Sus scrofa: one gene and its partners. The protein of the gene in region 2 purifies or fractionates together with the protein of the main gene of each other region. This does not show direct contact. Links are inferred from orthologs where the notes say so. Each region holds a gene or a part of one and is shown on either strand. Other genes may lie near its edges. The genes, in order: CBX5, H3F3A, ASF1A, UBN1 and CABIN1.

Region 1 (5,419 bases), on a different chromosome or scaffold from region 2:
AACTCTAGAGTTAAGGCTATTTCAAGCATTTGTTCATATTTCCTCAGCTTTGGGCTGGGACAAGGATGCTCAAAACCCTGCTATTTCCTTATTACTTTTAGTCTTGATTCTCTAGCCCCCTTCAATTATGAGGAAAAAAAGGGTAAAGAGAAGTAGGGCATTTCTTGGGGAACAAAGGCAGAAGGAGATAATCAGAAAAATAATCTCTACATATAAGGGCAGAGCAGGAAGAAGCCAAAAGAGAACTATCTTGCCAAGAAGGGAGAGGTTGTGTCAACATGCTAATTAATGCCGGGGCCTGTCACTCTCCAAGGTGATAATTTCCATAGAAATGCACTGAAAAAATAAGATACCACTACGAGTTTAAAGGTGGAAAAAAAGTAAGAGCACTAATACTTTGGGGACTCTTGGTGGCAAATCCAAGAGTCAACAAAGCAGGAAACTTATGATTATAGACACTATGAATATTTAAAATTGATATGGTGGCCAATGGCTCCCCTCCAAGAATTCCCCACTGAAAATAATGGCATGGAGGAGAAACGTGGGTCCACTGAGAAGTGAGGGTCAGGTTTGAAGCCTCTTTGGTAACAGGAATGCTTTGGGAGGCCACAAAAGTTGGCAGGGTTGGAGGGTGCCTAGCACCTTGGCACAAGCAAGCACCAGGCAGTCACTCACACCTACATAAATACATAGCCCAAATGGGAGGGGTGAAAGGAAATAATACATATGTACCACATGTGATAATAAAGACAACTGTATCCTACCCCACCATCCTCATGTACTAATAGCTAAAAATCTCCACAGTTAATAATTTTGTCATTTTATGACAGACTACACCAACTTGCAGAAGCAGAATCAGGGACAGCTAAGAAACAAGGCCAAGAGTCCTGGGGCTAAAAGGAGTGCCTTGACAAATCTGAATGTAAAATTTCAAGTCCTCCAAAGGATGGAGCTATTCTGGAGGATGGGTGAGGATGAACAACAGAGGGTGGCCCAGAAGACCACACCAGAAACCCTGTATTCTCCTGGGTAGAGCTGAATGAGGTTGGGGGAAGCCCCAACAGGTAGGCAGTTGCTATTGGCTTTTTCAAAAGATGGGCAACATCATTTCCATCCCAACATCTCAAAACAAAGGCTAGCTGGTCATCAACGTGTTCTAAGAGCCAAAGCAAGAAACCAAAATTCTTCATCAATGTAACAAAATCCCCCATCTAAAAAGCAACCAACCCTGAAGATCAAAACTCTAAAGTGATTAAAAAGTTAAAACTCATCTTGAGGTCACAGGGGAGCAGAAGGAAGAGAGCAGGGCAAAGGAAAAAACTGTGGGAATTACACACAGTATGTAAATGCCTGGTCTTCACAGAGAGACACTTATCATGAATCAGACCATCAGTTATGTTACAAGAGAACCAATACCAACATTTCTCCTGTGGAGCACAGTGATAAGCACATTTTTTATGGATGTGTTTAGGATAGAAGGGGGTGGGTAGAAGGGAGAGGAGGCAGGAAGGTGAATGTATTATGTACAAAGAGAAATGACAGAGACCACCCCCTCCTTTAGCTCTTTGCTGTTTCTTTCTCTTTGTTTTCCGCATCCTCAGGATATGCATGCCACGTCAGTCTCTCTTCATAAAATGCTATCACAATTTGTGGACATTTAACATTAGCTTCTTTTGCAAGAACCAGGTCTGCTTCATCTGTGTCTTTCCTGGAGAGAAAGAATTATGAGATTTAGAATGAGAGGAAAGGTGAGAGAGTGTCCAAACACAGGTTTATGTCATTAAATTATGATTTAGCTGACTTGATTTCTTCTCCATCTTGACTTCAAAGGGAAAAGGATCCTAACAGTCCCACATTTTCAAGGAGAAATTTAAGTAAATGAATCGAGTTAGTAAACATCATTCGACTACCACATCAGAAGACTTAAGCTAGAATAGATGGGAAACCTAGCAGGCTTAACCAAAAGGCTGAAAATTAAACTACTATATAAATTCTGCTCCCATAATTTTTATGTGTGGGTATGAGCATGTGAGCAAAGACACAATCAAACCTACATTCAGCCCTATTGATTAAGCATAAATTGCTCAATCCACTTTTTGGATCATCTGGATCATTGAAAGGTCCTAACTCTCCTCATCATGTGGCCTTTTATTTATTTATTTTTTGGCTTTTGCTCTTTAGGGCCACACCCGAGGCATATGGAAGTTCCCAGGCTAGGGGTCCAATCGGAGCTACAGCTGCCAGCCTACGCCACAGCCACGGTATCCAGGCAATGCAGTACACGAGCCGCGTCTGTGACCTACACCATGGCTCACGGCAACACCGGATCCTCAACCCACTGAGCGAGGCCAGGGATCAAACCCTCAACCTCTTGGTTACTAGTCAGATTCGTTTCTGCCCAGCCAGTAGGGGAATTCCTGCGTGACCTTTTAAACACTCATCCTTTTGGTCAGAACTGTGGATTAGAACAGTAAGAAAGTAGAAATTTCGGTCAGCAACAGTCCTTATAAAACAGAGTGAGGACGAATGTAAAATCTAGTCACTAAAATAAAATGTAGGCATTAAATGCAAATTTCAATTACAATATGAAAAAGAAATCCAGTAAGTTCCTTAACCAGAAATCCAAATCAAGAAAGAAAAAATTTTTAAATTAAAATCCCACCGAGATGTGAGCAAAGACAGCTAACCTCTTTCCTAGGAAACAGAGATGCTGAATTCATAGAGGTAAGCATTATGGATGAGAAGGGGGGTGGGGAGGGAAACACATCGCTAAGAGCAGCTACCCAAATTTGGACTGTGGTGGAAAAAGCTAGTTAACATGTGAATGTAAATCATAAGTACCACATATGGCTGAGTGGGAAAAGCAGTCAATACAGCTCCTTATGCAGACAGAGTATAGTGATTCTTCAAATACAGACTTCTGGGTAATTTACCAACAAAATTTCGATCAGATAAAATATTAAACCTCTTGACTATACAACTTCTAAGGTAATTAGCTTCCTTAGTGGCACTGTAGCATGAACTCTCTATTTAGAGACCAAACTTAAATTACAAGCCCAGAACACTTGGAAATAGAGAGGTAGTGAGGGCCACACTATAAATCACTCTGTCTTTAAGAAACCAAATTGAGGGGAAGTAACTATACTTTCCTCTAAGATCCATTCCCTCTACCGGATGAAATAATTTGTGCTTTGGCCAGTATTATTCTTAATGCTTTTTGTTGAGATTACTCTTCTCTTTTAGACATTATTGAGTGGTCTTGGTCCTCAGTGATGGCAGAAAGCCTCACTCAATTCCTATTCCATGGCCACAGGCTCGTGGTCTGATGGTAAATGATTCACAACTGTGTAAATTAAATGGTTAGGTCATGTTTATATGTTTCCTACCTCAAATCTACACATTAGTATGTGTGCTAATATATTATAATTTGGCTTAATACTAAAGCTTTCAAATGTCTTAAATCCATTCTGAACTATAATTCCCATTTAATACTGACAGTTGGTATCAGCTAAAAATTTAGCTCCCTGACGATCAAAATTCTTAATCAAAATTACTCAGTCTTCTCTCCCTATCTTCCGTACAAATTCAAGTCACTGGCAAAGAAACACAATTGCAGAGTGAGGCCCAATCTCTCTCACCATTTCATTAGGAACATTAAATCGCCACAGGAATCTGTCGCCCCAATGATCTTTTCTGGTTCCAATCCTCTCTCAAAGCCCCGAGCGATATCATTGCTCTGCTATAAATAGAAGATGAAGAAAGGTTACAGCTTGGAGATAACAGTCAAAAAACCTTCCCGTTTCTCAGCTCAACAAAGCACAACCTAAGTTAATATCACTAGATATCACTTTTGTCACCAATTCATAAAATTCTTAGGATCTAAATACAATACTGCATCAGCCAGTGACAGAGATATTTCTACAGGAAGTTGCAGCTGTCCTTCCAGTATTCCTTCAAAGGATTTGGAGTGGCCCCTAAAACTATTTAATATCCTTTAAAATATTCTGGAGTCATCATATAGAAAATCCTCTATCCCCTCATTTAATCTTGTTATTATAAATGGACTACTGCTAAATTGTTCCTTCTGGGTTGATAAACAAGTCCACAGGGGTTACCTGAAAGAAACCCTTTTTCATTTTATAAACTTCAAATATAAAACCTCTTAATCTTTATTTTTTTAGACTTTTAGTTCACCTAACACTGACCAATATTTTTAATACTTCTTTTCCCAGAGTCATCTATGCTTATGGAAGAACAGAGATAAGGATAATTCAAGGCATTATCATAAAACAGAAAATTTCTTTTCAGAGCTCACATACTGTAACACCCACACATTTGGGGAAGAGGCCCTGGTCTATGTCTATCCCTTCCTGAAGGGGATAGATCAATTGCATTAGAGAGCAGAACTGGGGACTTTCCTGGTAGTCTAGTGGTTAGGACGCACGCTTTCACTGCTGCAGCCCAGGTTCAATCTCTGGTCTGGGAATTGAGATCCCACATTAAGCTGCTGCTTGCTGCAGCCAAAAAAAGCCCCCCGAAAAAAACAAAAATAAAAAAAGAGAGCAGAACTAGACTGATAATTCTGTAAGGAATTATTCAGACTTGGTCAAACGATAATCACGCAGTCCAGACAAGGAGCATTAGAGTCTGATTCAGGTGTGCTGCCACTTGTGAGAGCAAAATGGTGAAATTTTATACAAACCAGGTAATTAAAAAAAACCTTTTTATGGAAGATAATGCAAGCTTATTTAGTGTCAATACAAAAAAAGATTTAGAAAGACTGCCCAATTGAACTAAATCTCTGATATCTGATTTTCATAATAAAATCTCTTTGCTCTGATATTCGCCTTGCTTTCTTCTGAGATACAAAGCATTCAGCGTCCAGGTGGTCCCCAAAGATACCAGAATCCAACATTGGGAAGGAAATTCCACGCATGGATCAGGGGACATACAGACTTAAAAACATAGCCTCTTTTGGGGGTGCTTAAAAGGAGGAGGTTCCCAGATGTGCACACAGCTGCTCACAGCTGGAATGCTGGCGCACGAACTGAGTCGTAAATCATAGCTGGCGGCTGAAAACAGTTTGCCACATAGGGAGGGAAGGAAAGAAAAATGTTCGAGATGCTGAAAAGGAGCCGAGGCGAGGAAAATGCTAAAATCATCACACAGGCAGTAATCTTAAATCAGGCATAATGCCGACTAACAAATTTCTTCTGCAGTGGTCTAAAGAAAGAAACGCAATCCCCTCCTGCACCCTTAAAACACACAATCACCCATCTTCCCAGCTGCCTACCTGACAGCCGCCAGCACTGCTGAGAATGCTGTCAAGGGGCCCCAGATGAACATTACAATGTAAGGGACATGTGGGGGTGGTTTTCAAGGTCAGCAGCATCAGAACCTGGCCTAGGAATGAAACTCT
Region 2 (6,127 bases):
GATTCTGGACCCTCCCCCAAGAGATTCCAGATTCAGGTCTGTGGTGGTGCCTAACATTCCACGCATTTTTAATCACCTCCAACCCCATGCTCTGATGGAGGTGGTAGTCTTACCACACTTTGAGTTACAATGATCTAACTAATGCCAAACACATTAACATAATAGTAATAGGTTCCTTAAGTGATTGATGTTAATTATATCTATATAACTAATCAAATCTTACTTGTAGGCATTTCAAGTTTTAATTGTAGCATAAACCATCAATATTTCAAATATATAACCACAGCTAAAACAGTATTTCTCAAAGTTCTGACACACTGGAGCTAAGAGTAAATTCACTGTTTGCCATTTAAGTAGAAATCCATACATAATCCCTTTCAGCAAACAAGTCTTCGAATTTCTCTTTTACAAGCCTATCTTTTCCTCCCTATTGTCAATCCAATCCTAACTACCACTCATGCTTCTTTTACCTCAATGCACACTTAATACTGCCAATTCTCACCCCACATATTTCTGTATTTGCAATCACCTCTTCAGGTGCTGGAAGCCATTTATTCTAACTTCCCTAAAAAATTGTCACTGTTTGAATCTAATCACCAATACAGACCTTTAGCCCCATGACTTCTTAATGTCCTGCAGCAAGTCAGCTGAACTAGAGGGCTTTTTTTCCCTTTAAACATCTCAGTGTCTCAAAGTCTAAAACTACATATCTGTAAGTATGTCCTTGAGCAACTTAACCTTTCTGACACCTCAACAGTGAAATAGTTATCACGTACCTCATCAGTTTGTGGTGATTAAATTGCACAGGCATATGCAAAGATTTAGAACTGTTCTTGGTACAAAGCAGTACCGCCAACTCTTTAGAGCCTTTCCCACCCACCATTTTACCTGCAAAGCACCAATAGCTGCACTCTGGAAGCGCAGATCTGTTTTGAAGTCCTGAGCAATTTCCCGCACCAGACGCTGGAAGGGAAGCTTGCGAATCAGAAGTTCAGTGGACTTCTGATAACGTCTAATTTCACGGAGTGCCACGGTACCAGGCCTTTAAAGCAAAACACATTAAAGAAATGGTTACCAAATACATAAAGACATAAGAGTGATCAGCTTTGAAGCGATGCTGTCGCTCCCCCCCCCCAAAAAATCACCTAACTATTCTTCAGGTTTGGTATCAAATTTCACTTATCAATTTATGACCTGAATATTCAAGTCTATTAAGAGTAACACCACAATACCTTTAGAGCAAAAAGCATGGTATTAATGTAGATTCCTGGCAGGGAGTTTAATCAAAATCCCCTTTATTTTCTTCATCTTTCATATATACTTAACTAACTTCTGTAATAATTATCATATCAGCACCCTCAATTCTTCTAAAAGTCCTACCAACACAACCCAATGAGCTTCATTTAAAAATACACTTACATTAAGTTTGGTTTCCCAGAACACCTTTAGTTTGACTAGGACCATCACTCATCAATGATTAAATCTGAATACTCTTGACTGTGTGAGGTGTCTTCCATATAGAAGTTTTTTCTTTTTTTAACTGATTTTCAGCCAGAAAATTACCTCAATTCTGACTTATTTCTTCCACTGTACCAGCTTTTACTTTAGGTTAACTGTAAAATCATTCACAGAGGGCACCTAAATACGGATAACTTCTGCCCTCTAATGGCAGATGCCCTTAACAACACTGCTCAGGGTAGTTCAAAACTAATGTTTTAATAGACGGAAATAACCCAATTTAAGTAAATGAAGGACTAAAAATTCTCCCAATCGTGATAAAATTATTTTGACAACAATCAAGAGCATCCTCAAAAGGGTATTTAAAAAACAATACTTTATTATTTAAAAAACTTCTAATGTGTCAGCTAAATAAAATTTTACTCCATAGCATTAACGATATTACTGATGCAACATCTCCCTTAAGCTAAGATTACAGCTTCGAAATTAAACATGGTCCTTAATAAAACCCAACACCAAATATAAAATTTAGTAAATAACCAAAAGGGGAAAAAAATACCAGTTTCCCTAAGGCAAAAAGGATGCTTATTATACATCTTTTTATTAGATTGTATAGCTATTACTTCGGAAGATACACTTTGCCCCATTTTTTTCCCGTCTTTTTAATACCTGTAACGATGAGGTTTCTTCACCCCTCCAGTAGAGGGCGCACTCTTGCGAGCGGCTTTTGTAGCCAGTTGCTTCCTCGGTGCTTTACCACCAGTCGATTTGCGGGCGGTCTGCTTTGTACGAGCCATGGTATAGAGACCTCCTTACTTACCTACCAGCATCAAAAAAAAAAAAAAAAAAAAAAAAAATCACCACATGCAACCACCAAACATACAAGTTTTCCTGCCACTGCCACCGCGCCCCCCCAATCTGAAAATTTGGCTCAGTATTTAAAAATGTCCGTAATGTTACATAATTTGAAAGGGTGCAGATTACGCCTACCACCCAAATATGACTTCTTGAAACAAACTGTAGTACTAGAAAATTGTTAGCATTAACACCAGTCACCTCTCAAAATGCTAAATCTGAGCGATAAATGGCAAAACAAAAAGACCCCTATCTGCCTTCGCTTCAATTTCTTTAATTAAAGTAGAAATTAGAAATGTCTGTAAACATCCGATCAACGAATAAGTCAAAATAATGAAGCCACAAACCACAGAAAGGTCGCGTCAAATTACAGCAAAAAAGGTTTTAGCCCCCCCCGCGCTGCCCCCCCCTTTACGTCTGGCAGTTGATAGACTGCTGTAAATATCAGAAAACATTCCTGATTTTGCATCTCTACAGTTCTGTTGACAAAAAGGCGTCTCCAAAAACAAGAGGGGAACAACAGCTACCACCAAGCGAGCATTCTACAAAGCCCCGTCCTCGCCGTCCAGTCCTCCGAGGCTTCGCAATGAAATAAAAACAAGTGCCCCGCACCCAGGCTTTAATTAACGCACGAGAGCGACCGACCGGTCCACCCCAAGCACGACATAAACTTTTGGTTTCGCCTCCACCGGCCCCTCGGCACAGGGTCCCCCAGCCTGCCCGTCTCGCTCCCAGCGTCTCGCGCAGCCAAACTGAGCTCCCAGACCCGAACAAAATGGAAACAATCGCAAAACGTATCCGATTCCCTACCAAAGAGACAAAACACCAAAACGCTTGAAAATACCCCGATCCCCTGCCACGTGCCGCCCTCCAAAATGCAAAAGTTTTTTTTTTTTGCATTTCAAATGCATCAAGTTTCCGCTTCTCTAAAAAAGGAGAAAAACATGTTTCTCTTTTAAAAATTGTCCTCCTTTTTTGAAATGGGGAAGAGAGAAACGGGGGAAAAAATATGGTCGGTGACCAGAGAAGAGAGACAAGATGGTGAAGCTTAGCAACAACTGTGGGGAGGCAGCAAAAAGCGAGTTACCCCAGGGTGGGAAGCAGCGGCAATTTCCACCCTTTTCCCGCCCGAAAACTGGGGGCCGGGGCCCGGGGGCTGTAGTTAAGAGGCCCGCGCGGGTCATGGTGAAGGTCTGGGGTCCCGGGAAGGGGCGCCGGGCGGGATTTCACCGAAGAAAGAGGAGCCAGGGGCGCGGGGAGGAGGGAGAGCAGGCTCGGCGACGCGGCGGTTGCTGCTGTTGGGCTGAGGCGGCGAGAGACGGGGGAGCCGCCGGAGCCGCCGCCGCCTGAGGGGAGAGGGAAACTCGCTCCTCTCCATTTCTGGGCCAAAAAGTTTGTGGGCCAAGCAGGAGGGACCGTGGGGCCCCCCTTCCGCACCGCCGGGGCCCGGCCCGGGGCTGACGGCAAGCGGGGCTCGGTTCCGGGGAAGCGGGCAAACGGGGAAACTTACCCCCCTTCTCCTTCGGCTGGAGCTCGGCGAGCTAGAGGCGGCGCTGGCGTTGGCGAGCGACGGCGGCGCGGCGGCGGCTGCGAACACAATTGAAAGATGGCTGACACCGAGGCTATCCCCCAACACACGCCGCCCCGCCCCCGCGCCGCGCGCCAACCAATCACACACAATGGAGGGAAGGCTCGGCCCCGCCCCCCGCCCCTTGCTCGCGCCCCGCCCCCGCCCCTCCCCCCGCGCTCCCGTTCGCTGGCGCGCGCTCGCCCCTCCCCCGCGCGCCGCCCGCTCCCTCCTCCCGGCAGCCTCGCGCCGTGTGTGTACAAACACAAAAGACACGCCGAAGGGCCGTCGCTCCCGCCGAGACGGCTGCCCGCCCGCCCCAGTTTTGACTCCCGCTCCCCTGCTCCGCACTCCCACCCCGCTCCGTGCGCACACGTCATCGAACTCTGGAAGCCCGGGTTTGGGGCGCCGAGGGGAAGTGAGGGGGTGGGGCGGGCCGGCCGAGGCTCGGCGGGTGAACGCCCGACCTGCGGGCGTCTCGGGCCGCAGCGGGGAGGGCGAAGGAGGGGGCGCCCCGCTCCGGCGCGGGCCCCGGCGCGCGTCCCCGAGGCACCCCGGGCGGCGTGGGGGCGGGGAGGAGGCCACGGCGGGCCGGGTCGCCGCGGCCCAGTTGAAAACACTACCCAAAAGGAAGCTTGCAAATAGAAGCCTCCCGTCTTGCGCCCACTTTCGGAGGGGGCGGCTCTAGCGGCTGGCAGGGCTGTGGGCCGGCCGTCTTCGTGCCCTCGCTTCGGGCCAGGTGCCGCTGGCTCGCCCTCAGACAACTTTATTCACTCAAGACACTGGCCCGGGGACGGAGGCGGGCCCCGCGGTGCGGGCTGCGGGCTGCGCGCACGGGCTCTGCCACCTAGGACGCCCGACTCTTCGCAGGTAGCATCTCGGAGGGGACGGGGCTCGCCTCCTTCCTGGGCCGGGATGCCTGATGCAAGATGGCTGTATTTTGTAAGCCTCTAAAACAATGTATGGAATACACAGCTAACTGCACCAGGGCCTGACTCCGGTTCTGGCCGAGTGTCCTACTAGCCTGTTGGGCCTTTTAACGATGAAATGTTAGGTAGAATTGCCAAATCAAACATTGTCAGCGGCTTCTGCATAGTTTACATGCGGTAGAAAACCGGCAGAAATAAGGAAAACGTGGTTTGGGGATGATTATATTTTTCCATTCTCAGTAGCGTAGGAAACAGACTTACCGTTTCAAGTTATCCATGTTGTTAGTTCATTGGACTCAGAATATCTGCACGGTCCCTAGTTGGTATTGACAACACTTTGCAACTATGTGTGAAGGTTTTCAATAGAAGTGTCATGCTGACATCCCATAGGATAGTGAAAGATAAATTTCATAGATGGAGGGCATTAACTACTTTTCCGCAGTTTGAAGATCTTATAAAGCATTGTAATCATAAACATTATCCTAAAAACGGATATATGGAAATCACATATGAAAAAATAGATTTGTCCAAGGTCACTTAAGTGAGGAACAGACCCAGGAGAAACAAACAAAATCCAGGCCTTCTGTTTCATTATTATTTAATGAATGTTAAGTGTCTGTGGTTGCTGTACAGAACACATGCACTCTGCAAGCCTATCCTAAAAGCATATGTGCAGAAAACCCTAGGCTGAGCTGCCAGTGAAGAGTTCTTGTAATTCCAGCCAAGAAAATGTGGTTGTATTTATTTATTTATTTTTGCCTGTTTTTTGTTTTGTTTTGAGGGAACTAAAATATCTGTTGTTTTTTTCCAAGAGTTTTCCAGGAAGGCTGTTCCATATCAATTGAATTAATCCTACATCAAGAAATTTTAAATAGCATGGGTAATGTTCTCTTTATATGCTAGATTTTTCCATAGCTTCTATTTTTTGGCTTAAAAAATACTTCTAAGGACAGGAAAGACTATTTTAGGTAAAATAGTTCTGATCTTGGATTGTCTGAACCATCTGTAAAATGGAGGAAATATTTTTATCTGTGTGAAGTTTTATTTTTTGTTTTGTTTTGTTTTGTTTTGTTTGCTTCTTAGGGCTGCACCCTAGCAATATGGAAGTGCCCAGGCTAGGGGTCAACTTGGAGCTGCAGCTGCTGGCCTATGCCACAGCCACAGCAACACAGTATCCACGATTGTCTGCTACCTACACCACAGCTCACAGCAGTGCTGGATCCTTAACCCACTGAATGAGGCCAGTAATCGAACCTGCACCCACGTGGATACTAGTTGGGCTCATAACCGATGAGCCATAACGGGAACTCCAAGACTG
Region 3 (5,419 bases), on a different chromosome or scaffold from region 2:
GAAGTGCTGGTATAGAGTCTGTGTAGTGAATCCAAGAGGCAGGCCAGATAGTGCCAGACACTCTAAGAGGACCAAGACGTCTCAGAGATAACTTGTATCTGTAGGGTGATCTTCCTTTCCCTACTAAGAGGCCCCTTCCAAAGAGCAGTTATTTTACTCATCCCTGGGTCCTTCTCGAGAGCACAATGTAAAAGGTGCTCAGTAAAGTCTGAATTAACATAATGACTGAATTACGTGGAATGTCTTGAGTTGCACTTAACTTTGTCTTGTTCCTGCCTATTCCCTCTGTATATACTCTGATGTATCTAGTGGTATAATGATCCCTGGTTTCTTCTTCCCAGAATAAAGAACAAATGACATGAAGAGGTGCCATGAGGGAAAAACCTGACTGGATCTTTACCAGTTGATGAGCTGGAGCCCTAATGGGCTTCTGAGCCACAAGAGAAGTTTGCAAATTAATGATTTTTCTGCTTTGGAGCTCTTTGATGAGTCAGATCTGTGCAACATAGTATAGGGCAGCCCTTCCAAAGTGTGTTTATCAGGTTGTTAAAAGATGACATGCAGAAAGGCGGGGGGAGGGATTTCTTAGCCAAATAAATTTGGGAAATACTGTATTAATGTTACCAATGGTCTTTACTGAAGGGTTTCTCAGACCACTTGCTCTGCCATTGTGCTTGATGAATCCTCAAGAGAAGGTGGCAGCATTTCCCAAATTTTTGGTCATTGTTGTTTTGTTCCTGAGGAGCCCAGACCAGGGACCAGTGTTTCATAAAACAGCATTCTGAGAAACTCTGGTATGAAATGTAAGCATTTTATAAGGAGCACTTCAGTGTCTTTCGATTTTCTGCTATGAGAAGCCAATTTTAACAGCTGATGTATGGTTAAGTGGACATTCAAAGGGTCTTTGATGTCATCTTGTAATTACTGAATATGAAATAATGTTTTGGTTTTTAACCCTAGACCTGGAATGGAAAATTATCTATGTGGGTTCTGCAGAAAGTGAAGAATACGATCAAGTTTTAGACTCTGTTTTAGTGGGCCCTGTTCCTGCAGGAAGGCATATGTTTGTATTTCAGGTAAGATTATTCTTGGTAAATATGTAAGTTAAAATACATTTCTAAATGGTCCTTAACCCTCTCCTTTTGGGTTAAATCACTGGCTCTGCTGCATTCACTTTTTATCTGCTTCTGTCATTGTTTTAAGAAGTCTCTAGGTCATAAGGAATGCCACCTCCTTATTTTGTGTGCCGAGAGATGTTATTGTCATGTTTACTTCAGGGTTTGCACAGCATGCAGTAAACCTTACACTGTGTCATGGCACACATGATGGTTAATTTCGGGCTCTTCCTGGGAATATCTACCTTGAGGGTGGCTGTCCAGCGGCCCCAAACAGGGATTCCAAATGCTTACTACTAACTAGTATAGGTAGTAATTTACACTTTCAAATTATAGTATCAGTCACTAGGAATAATAACAAAACAACAGTTTATTACAGCATAATCAGTAGTTCAGTTAGGTTAACAGGTATGTTAGAAGAGAGAGATCTACGAGATCATGGGTCATTGGAACTAAATGAAGTCCAGTGGTCTACTAAAGCATCAAATCTACACCTCTTATAGAGAATTCCTGTTACAAATACACAACTCTGTCATTCATGAGGAGAAATTCTACTAATACAATTGTGTTCTCAGATGCCACTGATAGTATTTAGGTCTGTGCCAAGGCTTCAGACATTGTCTTCTGTATTCAAAAATATTACTTCTTTTAATCCATGGCAAATTGTTGTATAAAACTATTCCGTCACTTCTCCATTATCCCTGTTTATTAGGAGATATTTATAATAGTCCAAAGAGTAACTAGCCATAGCTTTTTAAAAAACTTAATTTTGTTACAAGTATTTCTACCCAACAGAGTTCTATCGGTTAAAGTAGAGCTCACTGAGAAGACTCACAGAAAGAAAATCTAACTTTTCTATCCTTGACCTCTCACTTTTCTCACTTCACAGGTGAGATCTGTTTAAATGAATACTGTTGATCACATAATCCCACCAGCTATGGGCTAAGAATCACTCAAATATATGGTATCATTACAGCTGCTGCCCCTCCCTCCCATCTCCTCAATATAGAATTCAGAACCTTGGTCTCCCATCCTTAGTGCTTTTTATTAAATCTAAATAAATGATTAAGAAAAGCTTAAACATTACTAAAAGGCTCCAATATATTAACTAAAAGCATAGTTAGCCTGAGTTGTGAGAGTGAATAATCTTGGTGAAGGACGGGTTATCAGAGGATGCCTGTTGGGTGGGGGGAAGCACTGCAGTCGTAGACCTGAGTCACATCTCACTCTGCTGCTTGTTAGCCATGTGTGACTTTAGACAGGCTCCAACCTCCCTTGTTCTCTCCACTCATTTATAAAATGTGAATAGCATCCTACCTCATAACAGTGTTCGGAGGATTAAAAGAGGAACCCGGCAGATAAGTATAATCACTGATAGACAGTGCCCTATTTCGATAATTAGAACCAAGGTTTTTTTAAATTCTTTTAGCTGCTGCTGCTTCTTTTTTTTTTTTTTTTTTTTGGTCTTTTTTGTCTTTTTGTCCTTTTAGGGCCACACCCGTGGCATATGGAGGTTCCCAGGCTAGGGGTCTAACTGGAGCTACAGTTGCCGGCCTACGCCAGAGCCACAGCAATGCCAGATCCAAGCTGCGTCTGCAACCTGCACCACAGCTCACAGCAACACCAGATCCCTAACCCACTGAGCAAGGCCAGGGATTGAACGTGCAACCTCAAATTTCCTAGTTGGATTCATTCCATGACAGGAACTCCCTTTTAGCGTCCTGAAATTGTTATATAAAGAAGTAGTATTTGCTTTGACCCACAAGCCTGGAGAACCTGTAATTCACAGGTAGTAATTCATGATGTAAGAAACTTAATTGGGGATGTAGTGATATACCTTTTGATGCTGCTAGAAGTGTTGCAAATAAATGCCATGTTTTTGAAAAAGCCCTTAAAGAATCTCTTCTATGTGTTTAAGGATACTCCTCAGCTTTTGCCTTGGAGTGTTGTAGGAAAAATATTATTCAAAATTATTTCCCTCTGGTGATTTTCCAGTGATTTTTTTTACCTTGGTATCTGTGCAGATGTTGCCAAAAGTACAGAGGAAGTTGTGTGTGATTTAGATCATATGTTCAGCTTATGCATTTTTTAAAATTCACCATTATCAGCAGAAAGGGACTAAAATAGTTTTTGTTTCATGTTTTTAAACAAACTACCATAGTATTCTCCTATTCTTCCATGACTTTAACTCTCAGGATGAACATGCGTTTCTCCTGAGTGTGTAAAGAGGCTAGCAGGAAGGTGCCTGGACATCTAACTAGTATTGCTTGTTGGAGTGAAAAATCTCTGCTTATCACTTCTCCATCCTAAATGATCTGAGACGTCTGCAAATTCTCTCCTTGAATTTGCTCAAGCTGCATCCTTTAGCAAACAAATTTTAAAACACAAACAAGCCTCGGACGAGTTTGTTGAGCAGATGGGAAGCAATATGGGGGGAAAGTTCCCACCGTACTGAACTAACTCTATTTCCCATCTCTACCCAAAGACAGATAGCATATTCTCAGGACAGGCCCTCTGTCCCCATTCTGGTATCTCTCCAGAGGTCATAAACCATGTCAGGGTAGGAACTGAGTTCTGAATGAATTTCAGAATACAAATACTCTGTCCCTAGAGCTATGCCAGACTTGTGATTACAAAGATGAACTGGATAGGACTCCTGCCCAGGATAAAGCCTAGAATCTCAGAGAAGATTGAAGGGTAACATATTTAGATTGTTAGACATACATTAGTAGAGAATTTGTGTCAAGTAATATGAGTGCATAAAGAGTGCTATTAATTATACCTTTGAATTAGAAAGGGTTTTGCCGAGAGGCATATATTTGATGAAAGCTTCAGAAGATGAATTTTTCAGAATGTTAGGAAAGGACCTTTCAGGCCAAGGGAACAGTATATGCTAGACAGGAAAGACTATCACTACATTTTAAAGAACCTACATTTCTAGAAGAAGAGATGTGGCGTAAAAGGGGTGTGGTATTGGTTGGAGACCAGTTGTAAAGGGCCTTAGAAGCGTTAAAGAAGTGAAATTTTTATCTCAGAATCTGAGGTTTTAAAACCTGGTGAAGGGATAGGAATGGATCTGGGTTTAGATGGCTGCTGTATAAATTGGCTAGAGCTGGGGGAGAGCAGTAGGGAAGCTTTGGTAATATTCCAGATAAGAGATGAAGACTTGGATTATGCTTTGAGATGACAGATGTCAAGACTCACTAGACGTTTTTAGTCTAGGTGACTAGGTAGATGATTTATGCCTTTTTAGGTCCCCTACATGTAGTAGGTATATAGCAGTCACTAGTCTGTTACGAAAATGGCTTGACTGAGAAGGCCAGCCAGGAGCCTTCCCAAGCTAAGGCATTGGCTGAAGTCTTTACCCAGGCTTGTCCCGTGGATGTGCTTTGGTGCCCTAGTAAGAGTAAGCCGATCTGCTGGGGCTTCAAGCACCTACCACTGAGAATGGCTCTTTGGGTTGTGCTCAGATGCCTCACTGTCACTGCCTGTCCCGTCTGTGCCTCCTTCCAACCAGTGTCCTCACTGTCTTGCCCATGGCTATGGACAGGGCCCCCGTGCTGCTCATGCTCTCAGCCACCTCTAGCTCACTTGCCTCACCTCCTGCCTTTGTCACAGTTCAGCTTACAGCAGTTTGATTCAGAACAGGATCATTGATTACCTCTGCCTAAAACAAACTTTACCATCAGTGAATTTCCATAGTATATGTGATTTAGTATTTTTTGACAATCTGCTATACTATGTAACTATTTCCATTCCATTTTCAGTTTTACATTAATTTACTATGAGAATATCTGTGAGGGTTGGGTGAGTGGGTGTGAGAATGTGTCCTGGGAAATTGGACAATCAACATTTGCTGCCAAAAGGCTGTGTGGAGGATAATTGAATATTTACTAATTTAGATCTGAAAATTATGACTAGGAAGGGTTGGAATCAATAAGACTATTGATTTGTTTACTGTATTTTATAAAAGGTTTTATAATTGAATATTGTATAATTCCTCATGAACCACCATAGACTGTATGTAGCCAGATTTATTTTCTTCTAGAAGTAGTGATGTTTTCAAGTACCCAGGGTACTTCAGTATACTGTGGAGAAACATGAACTATGTTTTCTAGCTATAATCAGTCTCGAAAATGAACATGTGGAGTTCCCGTCGTAGCATAGCAGAAACACGTCCAATTAGGAACCATGAGGTTGCAGGTTCAATCCCTGGCCTCACTCATTGGGTTAAGGATCTGGCGTTGCCGTGAGCTGTGGTGTAGGTCACAGACGTAGCTTGGATCCTGTGTTGCTGTGGCTGT
Region 4 (6,079 bases), on a different chromosome or scaffold from region 2:
CGCAGGATTCAGAGGACCCGGGAGAGAGGTGAACTGGACCCTGTGGGGCTCCGACATGGCTACCAACAAGTCTTAGTAGGTGTCACTGCATGGCTTCTGTAAACAAACCAAGATGATAAAAATGATGATCTCGCCTGTTCAGTTATAGAGATTTCAATTAAAAAAACAAAAAAACCTTTCACTGTTAAGAAACAGCACTGTTAAATTCATCTTAATTACCACTTACTGTTTTCTGCTTACCTACTATTTACCTTAAATATAAAAATTTTTGGAGTTCCCAACGTGGCACAGCAGAAACGAATCTGACTAGGAACCGTGAGGTTGTGCGTTCGAACCCTGGCCTCACTCAGTGGGTTAAGGATCCGGCGTTGCCATGAGCTGTGGTGTAGGTCGAAGACATGGCTCGGATCTGGTGTTGCTGTGGCTCTGGTGTAGGCTGGCAGCTATAACTCCAATCAGACCTGGGAACCTCCATATGCTGCAGGTGCGGCCTTAGAAAAACAAATATGTATATATGTATATACACATAAGTTTTCATGTACATATAAAAGACATGCCATTTCACATCATTCAGAGATAATCACTGTTTAGTATGCTTCCTTGCAGTCTTTCTTCTACGTATCTTCACTAAGTTCTTGAAATTAGAGAAACCATGCTGACAGAGCCTTAGTAGGCTCTGTAGTCTTAGTAGCAGCTGTAGCTCTGATTCAACCCCTAGCCTGGGAACCTCCATATGCCACAAGTGCGGCCTTAAAAACACAAAAACAAAACAAAACAAAATTAAATGAATAAATAAATAAAAATGTAACCTCATCTAGGCCCAAATTTTAGATAGTGTAACTTCAATCCCCTAGATGATAAAAATGCTTCTACTGCTTGGGTAAGTGATTTTGCAGGCCTAAGAAATTACATAAATAAGATTAGAAAATAAAATAAATCAAACAATAGCATATCAACACTTACATTTTAGATTAAGTTCTAAGTCATTGTAGTAATTCATGTGAAACATTTAAGAGAATGAGACACATTCATGATTATTAGTTACAACTTTAACTTGAAATGCTTAAGGAAATGTAACTAAATTGAAAGTATGCTTTCAAAACACCTGACTTACATTTACATGAGTATTAGACGCCTAAGAGTTAAGACCTTGAAAAGATTTTACTTTTAGGTTTGTAAGCTCACGCTTTAGAAGTGTGATGTATCTGAGAGAAAGAACAACCATATAAAACTTTGAATTCAGGTTAGAACATCTGAGGGAGTTTATTTATTTATTTTTTTTGTCTTTTGAGGGCCACACCCGCGGCATATGGAGCTTCCCAGGCTAGGGGTCCAATTGGGAGCTGTTGCCTCCGGCCCACGCCAGAGACACAGCAACTCCAGATCTGAGCCGAGTCTTCGACCTACACCACAGTTCACGGCCACGCCAGATCCTTAACCCACTGAGTGAGGCCAGGGATCTAACCCGAAAACCTCATGATTGCTGGCTGGATTTGTTTCCGCTGTGCCATGACGGGAACTCCAGAATTTAATTTTTAAAAAGAGTTCACTGGGGGTATTCAATTTGTTAAACTGGTGCCTTAATTGAAAATTTGTCAAAAATCAAATATATTTTTACATAAGCATTTTTAGATCTGTAAAAATAAAATTGTCAACAAAGATTAAAAGGCTTTTAAAAGCTAAGCACTTAAGATACTCAATTTTTTTTTCTTTTAAAATGGCTGCACTCATGGCATATGGAAGCTCCCAGGCTAGGGAATGAATCTGAGCCACAGCTGTGATCTATGCCACATATGCAGCAACTAGGGATTCTTCAACCCACTGCATCTGGCCTCTGAAGCAACCAGAGCGGCTGCAGTCGGAGTCTTAATCCACTGCACCAGAGTAGGAACTCCTGGATACTCAATTGCAATGAGCTGAGCATTTTAATGAGTTGAACATTATTCTAAATAAAAGCACAGTATTCTACAAACAAAACCACCCCTCTTAAAAAACCTCAACAGATGCTAACCCCAAAATAACAACTTCGTTCTGTACCTCAGGTTATACTCAGGAGTATTTTTTTGTTGTTACATACCCTCTTAATATTTTCAAACTGATTATTGGTAAAAATGTAGAAAAACTAACTGAATTTTGCATGCTGACTTTGTAATTAGTCTCTTCAATGAACTCTTACTTAATGGATTTCCCTTGCACTTTTCAAAATAGGCTGTCGAGTAACATTCACAGAAGAAAAATTTTGTCTCCTACTTTCCGAAAAAATACGTTTTATTTTTGTTTCATGTCTTGTTGCATTGGCTAGAACTGCCAGAATGTTAGACAATATATTCTTTGCCATGTTCCTGACTGTAATGGGAATGTCTCTAGGTCCAATGTGATGTTGATTTAAGATCTGTGTATTTTATGAAGTCATTAACGTACCCTTCGATTCCTCAAAAATTAAGTTAGGAAGGTGTGTTGAATTTTAGTGTTCCCTCTTGGAAACTTAAATACGCTTTAAATCATAGATTTGTATTTAAAACAACACAAAATAGTTACCAGTAAATGACACTTCCTGAAACTAGCTGATGGTACTTCAGCGAAACTGAATTCCAAAGAGAAACCAGGCTTCGGACAAGTCAGTTCGCTAAAAACTTCCCGTTTACACCCAGTCTCTGTATAACACGACACCTATGAGAGATGCCCGTGGACCTGCCACTCTTTCATGCAGGCGGTGACTCAAGAAAAGTCCCGGGTAAGTTAACACTTGACTTAGACTCCCTGGGTTCTCAAACTGAGATTGGAACCTTTTTAAAATGTTTTACATTCTATCTGCGATGGTGATATTTAGGCAGACGCTGTGCTAAACTGCTTGTTATTCAAGATTCCCCATTCAATGGTTTAGTTTGAACATACTGAAACTACGCTTAGCGTCTGCCTTCCTGTTGTCAAAACAGCCTGTTTCCAACTTCCCTAAAAGTGTCAAACCACAACAAAGCTTACGTGAGAGCCCAGTTCCCACAAAGACACGTACCTTTGTCCCCGGCGCGACGCAGGCTACGGCCCCGCGGGCCGCACTCGTTCCCCCGTGGCCGTCCTCATGCCGGCCCGGGAGCCCGGGCTGCCGCGCTGCTAGCGGCCGGCCACCGAGCCATGCCTCCCGGCGGTCGGCCGGCCCGCGCCACGGCCCATGGCCCGGTCCCCGCGCGCCCGGGGGGCCTCGCCGGCCGTGCCGACGCGCCGGCCCAGGAGGAAGCAGAGAGACGCCGGCTCCACGTCGGCCGGGCAACTTGGGACTTCGGGACGGGCAGCACTGCGCCCCAGGAGAACGTGCGACGCGGACGCAGGATCGGAGCCTCTCCCTGGACGCCGGCCGTTAGAAAGAGCGCTCCAAAGGACCTGTCCACCCTCCGAAGGACCTGTCCGCCCTCCGGGCGCGGCCGCGAAGAGCCCGTCGGGCGCGAGGCCCCGGGCGCGGGCGGAGGCTGGCTTCCAGGCCGCGCCGAAGTCCGTCAGGGCAGCTGCCGGCTCGGAGACGCGGGCGGCCCCGGGCCCGCGCAGGACTAACGGCCGTAACGGAAGCGCCGAGGGGGAGGGGCTGAAGGCCAGGGCCCTGGGGCGGAGCGGGCCGCAGGACCTGCTCCCTAGCTCGGGGACTCGCTCGCTCCGCCGGCCGCACCGTCGCCGCCGCCTCAGACCGCTGCGCTACGTTGTCACGAGCCGGAGGGAGGGGGAAGAAGCCGGGAGTCTCCGGGCTCCGGCGCGCGGAGACCGCGGCGCCCGGGTCACGTGCCGCTAGGCCGGCCTATGAGCCTGGGCGGGCGCGGTGACGTCAGAGCAGCGGCGTGTCCGGTTACGGTCAGCCCCCGTCACGTGACCGGGCTCACTCCAATGGGCGGCACCGGGACGACCTGATGTTCCCGGCTGCCCGTGCGCCGGCGGTGGTTGGGTGGTAAGATGGCGACTGTGAGTCTGCGGCTCGGCGATTTGGTGTGGTGAGTCCAGGCGGCCCGGGCCGAGTGATGTGCGCTGGGGAGTTGCCTCCCTGTGCGTGGGGTTCGCAGCCCGCCCCGGGGCTGCCTTTCTCTTCGCTTCAGGTGGCGGAGAGTGGGCGAGGCGGGGTGCGGGCGCTGGGAGCGACGCCGGGCGGAAGGGGCAGCCTGGCCCGGGGGGACTGAGGCCGAGGGTGGCCGCGGCGGACCCGGCTTTGAGCTGTGGAGAGGGCTGCGCACAGGACCCGGACTCCAGCGGCCACCGTTTGGGGAGTGCCCAGCGCCGCGCGGCTCCCGCGGACGCCCGGTCCTCGCCTCGGGGTCTGGTTGGGGCTCCCGGGAAAGCGGGAGAGCCGGGGAGCCTGCGGAGCCATCGCGTCCCAGCCTGCCCGTCGAAACCCGCCTTGCGATGGCACCGACCGGTGCGGGCGGCTCAGCCGGGAGTGTCGAAACCGGGCTGCTGGCACTGTCCTGTGAAGAAACGGAGTGGGGACTTCTCCTTTACAACTGGAGGTTTGGCAGGGACCAGTTTCTCCTTGGGTGCTTCCCCTGGTCTGCTTCTGTGTCCCAGACAACCGCCCGAACCAAGACTTACTGTCGCCGCCTCCCTCCAGCTGAGCTGCGTAGCTCATTTCTCAGTCTAGAGGAAGGATTTCCATTAGCATTTGTCAAAGCCGGGTTGGGGGATGAAACCAGACTTTGTAAGGGGAAGTCTGTGTTTACACAGCAGACCGTCCCGCCACCCTCGTCACGTCCCGGGGAGGTTCTGGACAAACGACTCTTGGTAGTTTTGTTTTTCTGTATCCCTTGTCACCGGAAGAATGCACACAAGTTTACAGTTTTGCATTGCATTTCTGAGGGGTTTGGGCCTCTTGGGCCCAGCTGTGGATGCCACAATAAGAACTTCTGGTTCCCAGCTTTTTCTATTCTGGCACTTGAGCGTCGAAGGGGAGATTTAGGAAAATAAATTGCATGTTGAGTGGGTTGAAGGAGACGGACTGGCCTTTCCAGGGCAAATGCTGACTCTTTGTGTTTTCTCTAGGGGGAAACTCGGCCGGTATCCTCCTTGGCCGGGAAAGGTGAGTGACTGGCGGACATCTGAAGTTGAGTTTGAGGAGGTGGAGAGTATAAGATGCAGTCCCTTGAATTCCTAACATTGAGTTTAACTGGGCCTATTTAAATAACATTGGAGAATTTTTTTTTCCTCCACTGTCAGTTTTTTTAGAAAAGGCAGTGTAATTTAAACCACGTCATTAAATCTACAGTATGTTATTGTTTCTTGAATCAGAGGTGGTTTGTGGAAAAGTCTTTTCATCCTGAAAATCCTTTCTAACTTGAATTTAGCTTTGCACATAAATCTAATAAATGGAGAAGAAAACAAATTTTCCAGTAAGAAAAATCTAAATGTAGGCTAGTGAAAAGTCAAAGTATTTTTGTCCCACTGAGTTTAAATCTTCTTTGCATTTTACCATATGTGCTGCTCCAGTGCATTGCAGAAGCTGGCATTCCACGTTTTGCACGAAGTGATCCTTCATAGCTTTCCAACCGATCTGTTTTTATATTCTTGTTTGGAGCCTAGGAAATGTCTTCAGACTCTTTGCAGTATGGCATTTTCAGTGTCTCGGTGTTGTCACTGTTACTTCATTGTCACTGTTGACCTGTCTGAACTCTTCCTGCACAGAGGTATTTTTAAGAGTGTTTTCTGCGTTTCTTCCATAATGACAGGGTCACATTACAGGAGGTAATGATGTTGGTCTGCTTTTAAAACAGGGCCGTTTTAGTAAAAGGGATATTGTATCTACTGAACACTGTGTTACATGACAGACACAGGGAACTTCTAGAATATTTGCACATTTCCACGTCTCAGTAGAAGAGTGCCAGATTTGGACATAAAATAGGCCCTGTGTTTGGTTTTGTTTTTTTAAGATGTATTTCTTTTGTGTTTTGTTTTTTCTTTCCCTTACCAACTTATAACTGTGGGGAAAAAAATTTGTTTTTCCCCCTTTTATTCCCTAGATTGTTAACCCACCCAAGGACTTAAAGAAACCACGTGGAAAGAAATGCTTCTTTGTAAAGTTTTTTGGAACAGAAGATCAGTGAGTAGTGCT
Region 5 (6,182 bases), on a different chromosome or scaffold from region 2:
AAATGAAATCTTTCTACAGAAAAGAAAATCATGGACATGGGGAACAGACTTGTGGTTGCCAGGGGGAGGGGGAGAGAGTGGGATGGATTGGGAATTTGGAGTTAACAAATGCAAACTATTGCCTTTGGAATGTATAAGTAATGAGATCCTGCACTGGGAACTGTAGCTAGTCACTTATGATGAAACATGATAATGTGAGAAAAAAGAATGTATACATGTATGTGTGACTGGGTCACCTTGCTATACAGTAGAAAACTGACTGAACACTGTAAACCAGCTATAATGCAAAAAAATATAAAAATCATTATAAGATTAAAAAATAAAAACGACACTCCCTAATAACTTAAAACTAGGTAAGTGACAACCACCCCACCAGTAGCAGAGGAAGAAAAGTCCTTATGTCTAAAAATGTAGGAACCGGAGTTTCCTTCATGGCTCAGCAGTTAACAAACATGACCTGCATCCATGAAGACGAAAGTTCAATCCATGGCCTCGCTCAGTGGGTTAAGGATCCGGCGTTGTGGTGAGCTGTGGTGTAGGTCACAGACGTGGCTCAGATCTCCTCTTGCTATGACTGTGGTGTAGGCCAGCAGCTGCAGCTCCAATTCAACCCCTAGCCTGGGAACCTCCATATGCTGCAAGTGCAGACCTAAAAAGCAAAAAATAAAAATAAAAATAAATAAATTTTAAAAATATAAAAATAAAAATGTAAAAACCTCATATTAAACAACTTCCAGGGAAAAGGAAATGCAACTAAAATTCTAGACATTTAAAGAAATACAAACAATGAAAACACGTCACATACGTAAAAACACAGTGTACTCATCCGTGGGCGGAGGGAGAGGGGGCAATAGAAAGGATTATCTCCATAGAAAAGAAAGCCTATGACAAAATTCAACACCTATTCATGATATTAAAAAAAAAAAAAAAAAAGGCACCTCAAGAAAACCAGAATTTTCTGTATTCTATATATATATATATTTTTTTTTTTTGGCCAAACCAAGCCACAGCAGTGACAACACCAGATCCCCTAACCTGCTGTGCCACCAGGGAACTCCTGGAATTTTCTTAACAATGTTAAAACACACATACCTTAGTCTAAAGCCAAAATTTATTAAATGAAGTAACACCAGAAGGACTTCCTTTAATACCAGCAATAAAGGATGCCCACTGAAATGCCATTTCTCACCTAACACACTGGCAAAAACTAAAGCACAAAGGCACACTCTTGGTGGTAAGGTTGTGGGGAAACAGGCACTACTCTCAAACACCTTTGGTGGGAATGCAAATTGGTACAAGCCCCCCACAAAAAAAACAAACAAACTAGTATAGCCCCTCTGGAAAAGAGTATGATAACAGGCAACAAAATCACCAATGCACTTACCTTTCAAGCCAGCAATCCTAGGAATCTACCCTGAAGATGCATCTCCAACCATGTAAAAATACATATGCACAGGGTTCCAGCACTGTTTGCCATTGCAAGATCTTGAAAACCACCTAAATGGCCACAGATAGTCCAGGATATGAATAAATAAACTATGGCACCTCCATACAATGAAGTAACATTGCAGCTGCAAAATCCATGAGGGAATGTTCACAGCTACATTATTCATAATAACCAAAGAGAAGAAACAACCCAAATGGCCATCAACTAATTTCTGGATAAACAAAATGTGGTCCAGCCATACAATGGAATATCAATCAGCCATAAAATGGAATGAACTAATGAAAACACAGATGAACCACAAAAACATGATGCTGGGAGTTCCCACTGTGGCTCAGCAGGCTAAGAACCCAACGTAGTGTCCAAGAGGATGCAGGTTGGATCCCTGGCCTCAGTCAGCAGGTTAAAGATCTGGCATTGCCATGAGTTGCGGTCTAAATAGAAGACTCAGCTCAGATCTGCATTGCTGTGGCGTAGGCCGGCAGCTGAAGCTCTGATTCAACCCCTAGCCTGGGAACTTCCATATGCTGCCGGTTGGGCCCTAAAAAAGCAAAACAAACAAACAAACAAACGAAAAACTCAGCAAGGCCAAAAAGTTTAGAAGTTTAGTAAAGACTAAGTAACTGGTGGAGTGCTGTGGATGCTCCAGTTCTATCCCCAGCGGGGCGCAGTGGGTTAAAGGATCCCCCTTTGCTACAGCTGTGGCACAGGTCAAAGCTGTGGCTGTGATGCAACCCCTGGCCTGGGGAACTTCCATTATGCCACAGGTGGGACCATAAAATTTTAAAAAACCAAAAAGGCACATTCAGGACTTAAACCTCATGAGTTTCCAAAATCTTTATGGTACAGTTTTCATGGCCCTCAGAACACATGACAACAGCACACCCTGAGCACCTCACCCAGATCCAGTGATAAGGGGTGATGTTTCTTAGCAGGCTCTGGCCTGGGAATGGGGAAGCCTGGGCCGTGTGACTGACATGGCATCAGATGCCGGTCTCTAGGTCATTTCCCTCCACTGTATGAGGCTTTGGGCTAGACTTGGGATCCACAAGCTACCAAGCCCACAGTTTCTGTACAGCTCAAGAGCAAAGAATGGCTTTTTCTTTTTCTTTTTTTTTTAATGGCCATACCCATGGCATATGGAAGCTCCCAGGCCAGGGATTGAATCTGAGCCACAGCTGCAACCTACCTACCCTGCAGCTGCCGCAAAGCTCGATCTTTTTAACCCACTGCTGGGGATTGAACCCCTGCCTCAGAAGCAACCCAAGACGCTAGGGTGGGCAGCACAACCCACAGTACAATGGCAAGAACTCCCACTTTTTACATTTTTAAATGGTTGAAAAGTTCATGACACATGAAAATTACTGACAACATAAAATTGCAACTTCAGTGTCCCTAAATGAAATTTTCTTGAAACAACTTTACGAACTGTCGTTGGCTGTGTCCACAATACAGCAACAGAGCTAAGAAAACTATGCCCCCTCCTCATTATAAGCACAATTACACTCATTATTGTCACAAGGAATAGTATCATATAAACTACTCTATTTAGAACCGAAGTTTGCTGACCCCTGAACCAGACGTCTCTGAGGACACATGGGTCCTAACCACGGTTATGTACCACACAGAAAGAACCCCAGCCGCTTGGTCCGCATACACAGTAGGCCCTTCACCAAGGGGTGAAGGAACCCCTAAAGCCGCCTGTGCAGACACCTGCCGACGTCAGAAAGCTCCACCTGGCCTCCTCCGGGACGGCAGTGGGTCCAGGCTTTTAGTCTGGAGTCGGCTAGCCTGCCGGGAAGCTGGGGACTTGGGACAAGCGGCCGCACCACCTCTCGGCCTCAGTCCCCATCCCGCGAGGGGCGCCCACCTGGTGCCCGCCGCGCAGCGCCGCCGCGAAGGTTAAGTGGAAGGACACGCAGCAAGGGTGGGTGCGGGGCCCTGTTCCGCGACCGCAGACGGGACGGCTGAGTTGTTGAGACCCCCACAGCGTTCCTGAGACCCCCGCCCCAGGCCCCAAGCGGAGCGGGAGCCGCCAAGAGGTTCGCGCGGCAGTGGGGCCTGGCTCGGCCGCTCGGGCTCCCAGCCTGGGTTTTTCCGTGAGCAGCCCCCAGCCAGCCGCTCCTCAGCACCACACCTCCAAGCCTCACCCCAGCCCGGGGCCTCCCCAAACCTGCAGTACGCGAACTCACGAGTCGTCTCCACGGCAACAGGCCGTCCGCCGGACCCCCGCGCCCGTCGGAAGGACTGCGCGCCTGACAACAAGGAGCGCTCCCATTGGCTCGGGAGCCGGCTCCGCCAGCCAATCGGCGAGCCCGCACGCGCCTTCCCGAGAGCCAGCGCGCGGGGACCTTGAGGGCCTCTTGGCGGTAATCTGCAGCGCGGTTGGTGACACCTGCTAAGTAATCGGCAGCAGTGTTCCAACTGCGACAGGTGCTCGGAAGGTGGAAACCTGGGGACACTTGGAGGGGACCAAGGGAGTAACAATATTCTCATTCCTATGCCCGTGGCTCACCTTTTTCCGAAAAGGATTTGAAGCCTAAAAACCACAGATACAACGAACTATTGAAGCAGAGAGTACTGGGGGCGGGGAGCGGAGGGCGGGTAGTCTGTTGGGAGGTGAACGGGCGGGGGAGGGAACAACAGAATTTAAGAGCCTGGAAGAGGGTTTCTGACAACCGGCTGGGACTGAGATGTTACGCTCTTGGGAGCTAAGCATTTTAGGGAAGGGCTTCCCTGGTTCAGATTTATAGGTGCATGAGTCCAGGAAGTATGATTTAAATAAGAATGAATGTTAGGAGTTCCCTGGTGGCTCAGCGGTTTAAGAATCTGACCTTGTCTGGAGTTCCCGTCGTGGCGCAGTGGTTAACGAATCCGACTAGGAACCATGACGTTGCGGGTTCGATCCCTGCCCTTGCTCACTGGGTTAACGATCCGGCGTTGCCATGAGCTGTGGTGTAGGCTGCAGACGCGGCTCGAATCCCGCATTGCTGTGGCTCTGGCGTAGGCTGGCAGCTACAGCTCTGATTCGACCCCTAGCCTGGGAACCTCCATATGCCGCAGGAGCGGCCCAAGAAATGGCAAAAAGACAAAAAAAAAAAAAAAAAGAAGAAGAAGAAGAATCTGACCTTGTCACTGCTGTGGCTTGGGTTTAATCCCTGATCCAGAGAACTTCCACAAGCTGTGAGCCTGGCCAAAAAAAGAAGGATGAATCTTACGCCCTTTCTCTTTGACTTTGTTTAAAGACGGTAAAATCATGCTGAAGAACTCAATTCAGTACAGTAAAGCTTTAATGATATGCCAGGAGGTACAAAAATAATTGAGTCACCAAGCTTGATTTTGAAAGGAGTGTAACCTGGGCAGGGGTGGGGAGCTGTAAATAGAGAGTAAGCAGATGGTTTAGAAGTTTCATGAATGACTTGCAGCCTTGGACGCAGCTCCCACCCCCTGAAAGATGCTCTGAAGTAAAACAATTGAAAAAAAGATGCGGGAGTTCCCGTTGTGGTGCAGCGGAAACGAGTCCAACTAGGAACCATGAGGTTGTGGGTTCGATCCCTGGCCTTGCTCAGTGAGTTAAGGATCTGGCATTGCCGTGAGTTGAGGTATAGGTCACAGACACAGCTTGGGTCTTGGGTGGCTGTGGCTGTGGCGCCAACTGGACCCCTAGCCCGGGAACCTCCATATGCTGTGAGTGCAGCCCTAAAAAGAAAAAAAAAAAATTTAATTTAAAAAGAAAAAAAGAGATAAAGGTGGTCCAAGCAGCAGGAAGCTGTGTGGCAAGGGTTTAGAGTTAAGAGTGCAGGCCATGCAGGAACATCATGCAGTCTGGTGTTAAGCAGCAAAGCTCAGGAGCACAGTGGGGAGAGATACTGCCAAGCTGGTGGAGGGGCCAGTCACTACAGTGATGAAAGATTGAGGTGGGAAGACCAGACTGGCCCTGGCAAGGGTTAGGCCTGAATCCCTCCTTGGGCACTTCAACCATTCATTTACATTCAACCCACAAACATTCCCCATGTCCCTTTGAGAAGCGGGACATTCATGTTGGCAGGAAAAAGTGCAGAAACAGGAAGGGAAGCAAGGGGCAGGAACTTGGCATTGGTTAGGTACAAAGACCAGGCACAGGTGCATTCCTTTGGAAATGCACCTGGACTGCATAGACTAAAAATCTGTTTGGTATTTCATTGGTGCACAGGATGATGAAAGCTTTAACTGTGTAGGGAAACATAGTGCCCACAAATGTCTGAGATTTAAACTCAGCATCAAACATCTGGAAGAAAACTGATGGAATTTCCGTTGTGGTTCGTTGGAAACCAACTGGACTAGTATCCATGAGGGATGTGGGTTCATTCCTTGGCCCCACTTGGTTAAGGATCTGGCGTTATTGTGAGCTGCAGCATAGGTCGCAGATGCAGCTGAGATCCTGAGGTGCTATGGCTATGATATAGGCAGACAACTACAGCTCCAATTTGACCCCTAGTCTGGGAACTTCCATATGCAACAGATACAGCCCTAAAAAGACCAAAAAAAAAAAAACCAAACCTGCAAGGAAACTGAGGAGGCTTCTTTGAGGCTTCCCCCACCCCACCTGTATATCCTCTGAAATGCCAAAGCAGGATTTGGTCTTTAGATAAGGGGGTGGGATCTTACTCATTCTGTTTCTAAAGACAGCCATTTCCGGGTTTGCCATCCTGGGCCATGGATTTCACAGGGCACACAGTAACAGAATTATCAGCAAGAT

What was found.
Region 1: the proteins of H3F3A (region 2) and CBX5 purify together in Homo sapiens (affinity purification with mass spectrometry, with the first as the bait; 3 studies listed by BioGRID). This does not show direct contact. The link is inferred for Sus scrofa from reciprocal best matches to the Homo sapiens genes H3-3A and CBX5.
Region 3: the proteins of H3F3A (region 2) and ASF1A purify together in Homo sapiens (affinity purification with western blotting; 8 studies listed by BioGRID, with this or other methods). This does not show direct contact. The link is inferred for Sus scrofa from reciprocal best matches to the Homo sapiens genes H3-3A and ASF1A.
Region 4: the proteins of H3F3A (region 2) and UBN1 purify together in Homo sapiens (affinity purification with western blotting, with the first as the bait; 3 studies listed by BioGRID). This does not show direct contact. The link is inferred for Sus scrofa from reciprocal best matches to the Homo sapiens genes H3-3A and UBN1.
Region 5: the proteins of H3F3A (region 2) and CABIN1 purify together in Homo sapiens (affinity purification with western blotting, with the first as the bait; 3 studies listed by BioGRID). This does not show direct contact. The link is inferred for Sus scrofa from reciprocal best matches to the Homo sapiens genes H3-3A and CABIN1.

The regions. Positions count from the first base shown.
Region 1 is NC_010447.5:19,452,849-19,458,267, forward strand, and holds part of CBX5 (chromobox protein homolog 5), read right to left. Parts: intron 3,740-5,419; coding exon 3,639-3,739; intron 1,709-3,638; coding exon 1,558-1,708; 3' UTR 1-1,557. UniProt on the Homo sapiens protein: Component of heterochromatin that recognizes and binds histone H3 tails methylated at 'Lys-9' (H3K9me), leading to epigenetic repression. In contrast, it is excluded from chromatin when 'Tyr-41' of histone H3 is phosphorylated (H3Y41ph).
Region 2 is NC_010452.4:13,937,670-13,943,796, reverse strand, and holds the start of H3F3A (histone H3.3), read right to left. Parts: upstream 3,860-6,127; 5' UTR 3,824-3,859; intron 2,279-3,823; 5' UTR 2,256-2,278; coding exon 2,128-2,255; intron 1,043-2,127; coding exon 889-1,042; intron 1-888. UniProt on the Homo sapiens protein: Variant histone H3 which replaces conventional H3 in a wide range of nucleosomes in active genes. Constitutes the predominant form of histone H3 in non-dividing cells and is incorporated into chromatin independently of DNA synthesis.
Region 3 is NC_010443.5:43,203,819-43,209,237, reverse strand, and holds part of ASF1A (histone chaperone ASF1A), read left to right. Parts: intron 1-960; coding exon 961-1,076; intron 1,077-5,419. UniProt on the Homo sapiens protein: Histone chaperone that facilitates histone deposition and histone exchange and removal during nucleosome assembly and disassembly.
Region 4 is NC_010445.4:37,551,508-37,557,586, forward strand, and holds the start of UBN1 (ubinuclein-1), read right to left. Parts: upstream 3,749-6,079; 5' UTR 3,014-3,748; intron 97-3,013; 5' UTR 58-96; coding exon 1-57. Other genes in the region: putative oxidoreductase GLYR1, read left to right, coding at 3,937-3,974, 5,014-5,050, 5,988-6,067. UniProt on the Homo sapiens protein: Acts as a novel regulator of senescence. Involved in the formation of senescence-associated heterochromatin foci (SAHF), which represses expression of proliferation-promoting genes. Binds to proliferation-promoting genes.
Region 5 is NC_010456.5:49,783,993-49,790,174, forward strand, and holds the start of CABIN1 (calcineurin-binding protein cabin-1), read right to left. Parts: upstream 3,722-6,182; 5' UTR 3,618-3,721; intron 1,498-3,617; exon of another isoform or gene 1,385-1,497; intron 1-1,384. UniProt on the Homo sapiens protein: May be required for replication-independent chromatin assembly. May serve as a negative regulator of T-cell receptor (TCR) signaling via inhibition of calcineurin. Inhibition of activated calcineurin is dependent on both PKC and calcium signals.